Arabidopsis thaliana: one gene and its partners. The protein of the gene in region 1 purifies or fractionates together with the protein of each later gene. This does not show direct contact. Each region holds a gene or a part of one and is shown in the gene's direction. Other genes may lie near its edges.

Region 1 (3,753 bases):
AAACATTAAATTAGATGTGAACCATATGGCACCCTATGAATCCAGATTGTCAACAAGTTAACTTTATACACACAGACAAATATGACAACGATAGACAGTTTTTACTTTTTAATAAAACAGAGGCAAGAAGATGAGCATATGCTAGTGGTGGGGCGTGTCATTCTTAGATTCTCGGGTGGAACATAGGTTTGACCAGCAAAATGGTGAGGCCAATTATTGGGCTCAGTAGGTTGGTATGGGTTTAACCATTTTCAGCCTATATAAGGTTTACCTTGCCATATTACTTCAAAATTATTCAAAATCAACACAAATACTCAATCCATTCTTGTTTTATCACAAATCAGATGATCTTACTACTGTGTTCTAGGCTGAATTTATGCGAATAAAAATGTACCTTCCTTCAGCTTTCACAATGCATGAAGATAGATATGAAATTTGTAAAACTATGGATCTTTTGATACAATCCTGGACAACAAATTCATAAACCAATAATCATTGGAAGAGATTAAAAAGGGGACATAGGAAGAGGTTGTGACTTACGGATTTACATCTTGGGTCTGCCACCGAAATGCTTCAAAGAAAATCTGGAGGGACCACTGCGACACTCGGGTCCTTTTCTGGAAACTCCCCAACGTCCAGCATATGGCAACCATCCTTTAATTAAGTTAACTAGTCTGGATTCTGCTGCCGGTAACTCGTCTTGTGCTCCTGGATAACACTTCTCAGCTACATCATCCACACCGTTCTGGTTTTGGTTTTGTATTTGGATTTCGTTGACAATGGATGACACATCCAACCTACCATACAAGGATTCTTTAGCAGAGCATTGAAATGCAGAGACGATATAGGAAGATTGTTACAAAGTACTTACTCGAGGTACCGCTTGCAACTCGGGCTCTTGGATCTTTTGTTCATAGGAGAGTGGTCTATCGACAAATGCCTTACGAAATGTAACTGAAATAGAGTGAAAGGGATGTTAAGACTTTCAAAGGAATGAGATTGCGTGCATACGATTCTTATATAGAAGTGAGAAGGAGTTTAACGAACTTGGTCTCCATCATTGAGACCGAGATAACGGATGCTAGTCTTGTCATTGACTAATCTCTGGTCTCGATAACACAAGCAAAAATGACCCCAGACGTGAGACCTGTAGGCAAAGATCAAAGTGAACGACTGTACCAGAAAGCTTAAGCTGTGAGAATTTTCATATGAAATGATGATATACCATGAAATCATGCCGTGACCTTCCAGAGGAGAAATGGTGAATACTTGTTCCACAGCTCTTTTGAGCTCTGCCACTGAGCAATCCTTTGCAACTTCCACATCTATTGATTCGTTGGAAACCATTTAACTTCTTGAGAGGCCAAATCAGAAACAGTAACCAAAAAACTAGTTGATACTTCATCCAAAATTATGTCTATTAAGGCTCTTAAACAATGATTTCTAACAGCAACAAAAAATTCCGGATTAGAGATCGATTAGGGTATCACCAACTGAGGGAACCGTTGAGCTTGATTGTAAACTAAACTCTTAAAATTGCTATTTCGGAAACTGGATAAGCAAAATCGTACCGAAAAGGGAGCCGTTGAGCTTAACGACGGAAAGCTTGATACGACCCTGAGGAGGAAGTTTCAGGTAGGAAGATCTCCGTCCAGAAATCGAACCACCGTCGTTTAAAGCAAACGATGACAAGAAGCGTGGATCTATCAACGACCTCAGTCCTCCACTTCGACGACCGTCCCTAACCGGACTATGCTCTTCTCGCATTGCCGATTCTCCCGGATTTTCACCGACAAGATTCTGCTCTCTTTGCTCTTCTTCTTCAGCCTTCAGGTGACTGTTGAGGAGCTGAGCGAGCGAGCGAGAGAATCGGGAGAGTTTGTTTTCCGGGGAAAAACCGCAATTACTGCTATATAGCTCCCCAATAAATGCCAAAACAAAAAATCAAATTAAAGTTTGTCAATGGGCATCACGGCCCAAATCTAATAATCAAAGGCCCAATAACTTGATTCGACAATACTTAGCGGGTTTGGATAACCGCCTAAGCATCTGTTCGACACCGCCTATTTTTTTTTTTTACTTACTCCTCCTGATCTGCTGATATAAGGCCGAACGGGAATAAAAAAAAAAAAAAAGGAAGAAGCGACTCACCCGAAAATGTTTTAGGGTTTTTCTTTACTCGATTAAGCTCACTAGTTCTTCGCAACGTAGTTAGAGATCGACACTGGCGCGGTGGATTTAGGGTTTTTTTCCTCCGCGACTACGCTCGGCGTTTCGATTTGGAACCCTAAGCTATGTGGAACAACAACGATGGTATGCCCTTAGCTCCTCCTGGTACTGGCGGGTCCATGATGCCGCCACCTCCCGCTGCTCATCCTTCTTACACGGCGCTTCCGCCGCCTTCTAATCCGACTCCTCCGGTCGAGCCTACTCCTGAGGAAGCGGAGGCTAAGCTTGAGGAGAAGGCCCGAAAATGGATGCAGCTAAATTCCAAACGGTACGGCGACAAGAGGAAGTTTGGATTCGTTGAAACTCAGAAGGAGGACATGCCACCTGAGCACGTCAGGAAGATCATCAGGCTAGTTTTCTTCTCTTCTTTCTCTACCATTTCGAAATACAGTTTACTTGATAATTATTTTCTGGCTAGGTTTCTAAGATTTGGTTAGGATTTACTTATTTTGAGACTGAAGCTGCGATTTCTTTCTTACTTCAGAGATCATGGTGATATGTCATCCAAGAAATTCCGTCACGACAAACGTGTATACCTTGGAGCCCTTAAATTCGTCCCTCACGCAGTTTTCAAGCTCTTGGAGAACATGCCTATGCCCTGGGAGCAGGTACATTTTTTTTCCTTTAGCTTCAGCTGTTTTCATCGTCTGTTCATTTATCTAAATCCTCATTTTCTTTCAGGTCCGAGATGTAAAAGTTTTGTACCACATCACCGGAGCTATTACATTTGTGAACGAGATACCATGGGTTGTGGAACCTATTTACATGGCTCAGGTTGGTGATTAGTCTTATCTCTTATTTACTGTCTCTGTGCGCTGATGGATTTTCAATAGCTTTTGATGGTTATTCCATTCTTGTTTTGCAGTGGGGTACTATGTGGATTATGATGCGAAGGGAGAAGAGGGATCGTCGTCATTTCAAGAGAATGCGGTTCCCACCTTTTGATGATGAGGAGCCTCCACTAGACTATGCAGACAACTTGCTGGACGTGGATCCTCTGGAGCCAATTCAATTGGAGCTAGATGAGGAAGAAGATTCTGCTGTCCACACTTGGTTTTACGACCACAAGCCACTCGTTAAAACAAAACTGATTAATGGTCCCAGTTACCGGAGGTGGAACCTCTCACTTCCAATCATGGCAACCCTTCACAGGCTTGCAGGCCAGTTGCTGTCTGATTTGATTGATCGCAACTACTTCTACTTATTTGACATGCCATCTTTCTTCACAGCAAAAGCTCTGAACATGTGCATACCTGGTACGCCATTTTCCTTCTATGCTCCAGTTTTTATATTTTTGCTGCGGGTCCATTGCTTTTAATGCATTCTCCTACTCTTTTCCAGGTGGACCCAAGTTTGAACCTTTGTACCGTGATATGGAGAAAGGGGATGAGGACTGGAATGAGTTTAATGACATCAACAAGCTCATTATTCGTTCCCCTCTGCGTACTGAGTACAGAATAGCTTTTCCCCATCTCTACAATAATCGGCCCAGGAAAGTAAAACTCTGTGTGTATCACAGTCCTA
Region 2 (3,753 bases), on another chromosome or scaffold:
TTGTTTTGCAATATTACTTCAAAATTAACTTCAGCATCAGGTCTGCCCTCAGAAAAGTTGTAAGAACAAAAATGTATTTGGAGTACCTTCTCACACTCAAGTTTGAGTTTGGGATCAATGTTCAGTCCGAGTGATTCCTTGTAGGCTATGAGCAATTTTTTTGTCTTTTCTTCTCTCACAATCCTCTCTTCAGCGGTCTCAACTGAATCCCCCGGTCGGAGTGTCCTTCCACCACCAAACTTAAACAAGAAAAGTATATATCTCAATCCTCATTACTTGAGACCATAGATGCCAGCAGGAAAATATACACTCCAAAACCATCGAAGTTAAGAGCTGATGGTTATAGCCAACAATCCAAAATGTGGAAAATACAACCAACAAATCATTTTTGATGCATCATATTTCACAGTAGACTAAATGGTATGCGAACTAAATAATAAACCCATGAAACCTTTCTGGCACTCCTACCTCTAATAATCTGGAGTAAGTGGCTCTATATACCCTAACTTAACAACATTGGACATGCAACTTCTTCCCTCTTGGGGGTTTATGAAAAAAACTAATCCAGTTGCATAACACATATCTTTAGATGGGCCAGTCACATACCGTCTTAGAGATGTTGCTAGGTCTTGGGAAAACTCCCCATGTAGAAACTTTGGGTTTATACACATCAGAGTTTCCATCTCCTTCTTGCTCAACCTCCTTTACTTTCTCCGCAAATCTTGTTTTATCACCAACAATAAACTCCACCTCAGGTAAGTCTCCTTCAGGAAGATAGTCAACAACAGGAACAAGTCCCGCTGGAAGCCCCCTCGTGCTCTTCTTATCAGCAAAGCCAAGCCCCATGAAATCAATGCTGGAGACTTTCAATTCTTTCTTCTTAACATCATTATCTTCAACAACCTTATTTGCTAATCTAACGAAACTTTGATCTGTATTACCTGAAACCCATGAGAACAATTCTCCATTAATACAGCTAAAAATCAAGGCTTTACTCCTAAATCTAATCAAAAACCAATCTTTTCAAGGAACAGGCCACGAAAAACACATGAATGATGTACTAAAGACTATTAGAAAAGTGCATTGATCTACAAACTCAAGCAAAGACAGTTACAAGAATTTTGTGCAAAAGATGATTTTTTACTGAACTGGGTTTAGCTTTTGCGACAGCATCAGTTCCAAGTCCTTTCCTTTTCTTATAATCATTGGCTTTTTGCATAGCAGCCTTAACAGAGAGCGGCAATTCCTCGTCGCCGGCATTTTTCTCTGGTTTTTTTTGCTCTGATTTCGATTTCTTATAAGCTTCGGCTTTCTTCAATGCGAGCTTCACCGGATCCACATCGAGCTCAACCTCTGACGAGCGGTCCGGTGAGGACGAGTTGCTCCGAGTTCGGAAAAGTGAGAGTTTCAAGGATTTTGGGTGTTGAGATGGAGAAAAAAAGAAAGCGGGAGTTTCGGTGAGTGGAGAAGAGAGCCAAGAGTGGTTGAAAGAAGCCATGGTTTGGTGGAGAGAAGAGCTGGTTAGCCATTTTTGGAGTGCAATGTTTTCACAGACTTGTGGACTCGTGGATGCAACATCACCACCCATCCATTTCATCATTGGTCTTGGTCACTAGAGCGCATAAACAGTTCGTTTTATTCGGTTTATATTCGGTTTAGATTGATCAATTATGATTCGAATTCGTTTATTTTGGCTCAGTTCAATTTTTTTTTATGCACACTCATATTTAAGTTGTTTTATTTTAAATCAAAATACTAATTTAAAAGAATGTAAAGTTTTATGTTATCCGATTGCATAAATTTGGTTTTAGTTTGGTTTATTTGGTACAAATTACTGTTTAATGTTTTTTAATCATAAGAAATTCAGTTTTGGTTCGATTCGGTTTACTTGGCTTTTGCTCACCATTATTTATTTATATTAATTTTACTCTTAAGATTATTTCTAGTTCCAGTCCAGACTAAAATACTTCTAGCCCAATATCGGCCCAAGTCCAGCTGTAATTAAACTAGCATCACTCGGGTCGGGTCGAGTCGGTCGTAACCGCCTTTTATCTTTGACGTCGTCGATGAAACTCTCACCTCCGCTTAAGCCCTAAAAATCTTACTCTTCTTCACTCTAAATCCCTTCTCTGAACCTCTTCGTTTGCTGTATGTGTTGATTTCACTTCTCTCTGAGCAAGAAGCTTTCGCGTGAGAGAATGACGAAGGTCTATGGAACTGGCACGTACGACTTCAAGCGCCACAGAGTGGCGGAGTATCCATTGGAGTTACCTAGCCATCCTGCTGAGAAGCCTCTAGAGTCAAAGCCTGGATCTAATTTGCCGAGCTCCATCACTTTATCGGAGATTCAGCAAGATAGGTTAACGAAAATCGCTGAGGAGAGCTGGATTAAGACTGGAGGTAAGCTCCCTGAGAAACCGTTCGATCCGGAGGTTGTGAAGGAGATTTATGTGACGGAGCTTAAGGTAACTAGTGGTCGTAAACCTGTTCCACTTCAGCGAGTTATGATTCTGGAAGTGAGTCAGTATTTGGAGAACTATCTATGGCCGAATTTTGATCCTGAGACTGCTACGTTCGAGCATGTTATGTCTATGATTCTTATGATTAACGAGAAGGTAACTAATCTTGCTCTCTTTCGTATTGGACTGTTGGAGCTGTAAACAGTGGAGTTTAACATTGCTACATGCTTTGTAGTTCCGGGAGAATGTGGCAGCTTGGATTTGCTTTCATGATCGGGATGATCTATTCAAAAAGTTTCTACAGAAGGTTCTTCGCCTTAAAGAGGTTTGTATTCTACCTGTTGTTTTAGTTTTTGTGATTCTAGTGTTGTTCCTGTTTGTGATAATTTGGTTTGTACCTGTGATTTATAACATTGTCTTATGCCTGGAATTGACTTCGCTATATATTTGGAGGCATAGTGATAAATCATAATTAGCCATTGCTAAACCAATCGTATATTTATATATCATTTGCTTACCATTGTAGGGAAGAGACTTGACTATTGCTGAGAAGACAAACTATTTGGTCTTCATGATTAATGCTTTCCAGGTTTGTTCCGTTTCTTGCATGTAACTTTTGAATAGGTCGTAAGTATTTAGAATGCTGTTGCGCCTGTTTCAGATCAGAAAATTAATACATGATATAGTAAGCAGTAATTGCAGACAATATAGCTGTGTGCTACTCAGTAAATTGTTTGTTTCACGTGGAAAACCTTATTATTCATGTTTGTACACAAATTATATCCTTGTGCTATTTTGTTTTTCTTCAATATTCTTAACTGTGTGATGTTACAGAGTTTGGAAGACGCAGTGGTTAATGAGATTGTTCTAAGTCTAGCAGGATTACAATCTTGGCACAGCTTGTCTTATGGACGTTTCCAGGTGGGTGTTTCCTTCACATGGATTTTGTTAAGGATGGTGAAAATATTTTGTAGTTGCTCTGATATCGTCATTGATTTTTACAACTGTAGATGGAGCTCTGCCTTCAACCTGATCTAATTAAAAAGTGGAAGAGGTCATCAAAGAAATGGGCAGCTGAGGCAAAGTCAAAGGGAGAGAAATTTGATTTATCCTCATCCCCTGAAGCAAATTTTGTTCGAGGCCTAATAGAAGAATTCGTTGAGGTATATAGCCTGTTTTTATTGGGTTGTAGTGGTCTATGTTCGTCAAATATATCTTTCGCATAGTTACGCATAATTCATAACATTCTGTTCAGGTGCTTGATCATGGGGTTTTTGCGGATGAGGTTGATGAT
Region 3 (3,753 bases), on another chromosome or scaffold:
TACGCCAGTGGTCGTACAACCGGTTAGTACATTTTAGGCTTTTTGTTTATACTCATTGATCATTATTTGAACTGAGCTCTGATTATCTTCCATTGAACAGGTATTGTGCTGGATTCTGGTGATGGTGTGTCTCACACTGTGCCAATCTACGAGGGTTTCTCTCTTCCTCATGCCATCCTCCGTCTTGACCTTGCTGGACGTGACCTTACTGATTACCTCATGAAGATCCTTACAGAGAGAGGTTACATGTTCACCACAACAGCAGAGCGGGAAATTGTAAGAGACATCAAGGAGAAGCTCTCCTTTGTTGCTGTTGACTACGAGCAGGAGATGGAAACCTCAAAGACCAGCTCTTCCATCGAGAAGAACTATGAATTACCCGATGGGCAAGTCATCACGATTGGTGCTGAGAGATTCAGATGCCCAGAAGTCTTGTTCCAGCCCTCGTTTGTGGGAATGGAAGCTGCTGGAATCCACGAGACAACCTATAACTCAATCATGAAGTGTGATGTGGATATCAGGAAGGATCTGTACGGTAACATTGTGCTCAGTGGTGGAACCACTATGTTCTCAGGTATCGCTGACCGTATGAGCAAAGAAATCACAGCACTTGCACCAAGCAGCATGAAGATTAAGGTCGTTGCACCACCTGAAAGGAAGTACAGTGTCTGGATCGGTGGTTCCATTCTTGCTTCCCTCAGCACATTCCAGCAGGTAAAAATTGATCAGATTTTGTTTCGAATTCTCTTACATGCAAATTGAAATCAAAGGCTGATTATTTATGTATATGTTGGTTACAGATGTGGATCTCCAAGGCCGAGTATGATGAGGCAGGTCCAGGAATCGTTCACAGAAAATGTTTCTAAGCTCTCAAGATCAAAGGCTTAAAAAGCTGGGGTTTTATGAATGGGATCAAAGTTTCTTTTTTTCTTTTATATTTGCTTCTCCATTTGTTTGTTTCATTTCCCTTTTTGTTTTCGTTTCTATGATGCACTTGTGTGTGACAAACTCTCTGGGTTTTTACTTACGTCTGCGTTTCAAAAAAAAAAACCGCTTTCGTTTTGCGTTTTAGTCCCATTGTTTTGTAGCTCTGAGTGATCGAATTGATGCCTCTTTATTCCTTTTGTTCCCTATAATTTCTTTCAAAACTCAGAAGAAAAACCTTGAAACTCTTTGCAATGTTAATATAAGTATTGTATAAGATTTTTATTGATTTGGTTATTAGTCTTACTTTTGCTACCTCCATCTTCACTTGGAACTGATATTCTGAATAGTTAAAGCGTTACATGTCTTCCATTCACAAATGAACTTAAACTAGCACAAAGTCAGATATTTTAAGATCGCACCATTTTATATAACCCCAATCGTCAATTCTACTGTTTCAAGTTTTACACCAAAACAATTACGAGGTGTATCTATTCGTTACTCTTTTCGCTTATTAATCCTTTTACATGATGCAAAATATAACAAATTAATTTCAAATTGTCCTGCACATTTGGTTTATACATCTTGATTCCAAAAAGTCAACTCGTTGAAGAATTAATCAATACTCGAAACGAGTCTTCCTTGGGCCCTAAAATATTGTCCTATCTAGTTGATGCTTATATAGCATATATGGGCTAATAAATTGGGCCTTAGCTTTGGAAAAGGACGTAGAACTTGAAACAATTTTTATTTTTCTTTTTCCGGCGAAACAATTATCTAATTACCAATTTAACCCCAATCCTTTCTCAGTTTCTCTCTTCCGCGTCTCTCCTTCTCGTTATCCTGCAAATTAGGGTTTAAGTAAGAAAAAAAAGCTAGAGAAGTATCTCGATCTCTTCTTCTGTTAGATTCTGCTTTCCTTTGAGATTTGCTAGTGTAATCGTAACCTCCGAAGACCCAAGATGGCTCGTAATGAAGAGAAAGCACAGTCGATGCTCAACAGATTCATCACCCAGAAAGAATCTGAGAAGAAGAAGCCAAAAGAGCGTCGACCTTACCTCGCATCAGAATGTAGAGATCTAGCTGAAGCAGACAAATGGAGACAGCAAATTTTGAGAGAGATCGGTAGCAAAGTAGCTGAGATTCAGAACGAAGGATTAGGAGAGCACAGACTTCGAGATCTAAACGATGAGATTAACAAGCTTCTCAGGGAGAGATATCATTGGGAGCGGCGAATCGTTGAGCTAGGTGGTCACAATTACTCGAAACATTCGGCGAAGATGACGGATCTAGAAGGTAACATAATCGATGTACCTAACCCTAGTGGTCGTGGTCCTGGTTATCGTTACTTCGGAGCTGCTAAGAAACTTCCTGGTGTTAGAGAGCTTTTTGAGAAGCCTCCTGAGCTGAGGAAGCGTAAAACTAGGTATGATATATATAAAAGGATTGATGCTAGCTATTATGGGTATAGAGATGATGAAGATGGTATTTTGGAGAAGTTGGAGAGGAAATCTGAAGGAGGGATGAGGAAAAGATCGGTGGAGGAGTGGCGGAGATTAGATGAGGTTAGGAAGGAAGCTAGGAAAGGTGCTAGTGAGGTTGTGAGTGTTGGAGCTGCAGCTGCTGCGGCGAGGGAAGTGTTGTTTGAGGAGGAGGAGGATGTTGTTGAGGAGGAGAGGATGGAGAGGGAGAAAGAGGAGGAGAAAGAGAGGGAATTTGTGGTTCATGTTCCGTTGCCTGATGAGAAGGAGATTGAGAAGATGGTGTTGGAGAAGAAGAAGATGGATCTGCTTAGTAAGTATGCTAGTGAAGATTTGGTTGAGCAGCAGACTGAGGCTAAATCCATGCTCAATATTCATAGATAGAAAGGTGATCATCTCTTCTTGTAAGGCTTTTTAATCATATCATAGTATAATTTTATTGTCTGTAGTTTCTTTTGCAGTTTTTGATCAGAAAATTGACTGAACTGCTGTGTGTTTTAAGAAATTTCGATTAGAGGAATTCTAAAAATTTGTTGATGTTTCTTATATTATTACATCCTAGATTATGATCTTAGAGAATTTGCTAGATCTTGATTTATATTTCCTTAGTAGTCCTGGTCTGTTTGAGAGTATGATAAGGCTTCTGTCGAGTAATGTCATAAAGCGCGATCAATCTATAACAACAACGTACATTCTTGCTTCATTAATCAAGAGTTTCACTGACCTGAGTAATTGACCTAGTACCCTTGTATGTGGAGCTTAGATTTGCAGAAACTGTTATTTCAATGGGACATACTTTAGTTAGTGCCTTAGTGGCATGCATTAGGATGCGAAGGAATTCGTATTATATCTTCTCTTGAATTGAATCTGAGAGGCTGATACATCATCTCTATGCTTCTCAGATGCTCTGTTTTACCAACAAACTCAGCCGCGATGGTCTCTTGCCTAAAGAAGAAACGATGTTGGGCGTTTGAAATATGATTTCATGGAAACAAATGTGAAAGACTCAAGGAGAAGATACAATGTCACTTGGAACTGAACTAGTGTATTCTATTATGTAGCTCGACTTTTGTATCTTTATACTTCTGAATGTAATGCTCATTGCCTGAGGTTTATACATTGTTCCTTTGGCTCTAACTAGATTGGTGCTATGCAGAGACATAAGTTGAGACCAACCACAAGCATTTTTCTGGTTTTGATTTTACTCCCAGTAAAATATTTATTGAGTACGGACAAAACATCAAAAATCAGAACAAGACCGTTGAGATGGATAATACTTGTCTAGAGATACGAACCACACCCACATGTTCCTACACACAATCCCCAAACCATCTCTCTAACCAATAAC

The links.
Region 2: the proteins of SUS2 (region 1) and EMB2765 purify together in Arabidopsis thaliana (affinity purification with mass spectrometry; 2 studies listed by BioGRID, with this or other methods). This does not show direct contact.
Region 3: the proteins of SUS2 (region 1) and AT3G18790 purify together in Arabidopsis thaliana (affinity purification with mass spectrometry; 2 studies listed by BioGRID, with this or other methods). This does not show direct contact.

The regions. Positions count from the first base shown.
Region 1 is NC_003070.9:30,115,758-30,119,510, forward strand, and holds the start of SUS2 (Pre-mRNA-processing-splicing factor), read left to right. Parts: upstream 1-2,089; 5' UTR 2,090-2,294; coding exon 2,295-2,578; intron 2,579-2,713; coding exon 2,714-2,837; intron 2,838-2,910; coding exon 2,911-3,003; intron 3,004-3,094; coding exon 3,095-3,485; intron 3,486-3,570; coding exon 3,571-3,753. Other genes in the region: AT1G80060 (Ubiquitin-like superfamily protein), read right to left, coding at 545-797, 872-954, 1,048-1,147, 1,226-1,325, 1,572-1,767. UniProt on the Arabidopsis thaliana protein: Functions as a scaffold that mediates the ordered assembly of spliceosomal proteins and snRNAs. Required for the assembly of the U4/U6-U5 tri-snRNP complex. Required for embryo development.
Region 2 is NC_003071.7:16,208,699-16,212,451, reverse strand, and holds the start of EMB2765 (P-loop containing nucleoside triphosphate hydrolases superfamily protein), read left to right. Parts: upstream 1-2,023; 5' UTR 2,024-2,198; coding exon 2,199-2,615; intron 2,616-2,694; coding exon 2,695-2,784; intron 2,785-2,985; coding exon 2,986-3,048; intron 3,049-3,293; coding exon 3,294-3,380; intron 3,381-3,469; coding exon 3,470-3,622; intron 3,623-3,714; coding exon 3,715-3,753. Other genes in the region: AT2G38780 (cytochrome C oxidase subunit), read right to left, coding at 87-239, 607-941, 1,150-1,600.
Region 3 is NC_003074.8:6,475,967-6,479,719, forward strand, and holds AT3G18790 (pre-mRNA-splicing factor ISY1-like protein), read left to right. Parts: upstream 1-1,694; 5' UTR 1,695-1,886; coding exon 1,887-2,789; 3' UTR 2,790-2,793; intron 2,794-3,307; 3' UTR 3,308-3,616; downstream 3,617-3,753. Other genes in the region: ACT2 (actin 2), read left to right, coding at 1-22, 101-714, 801-866.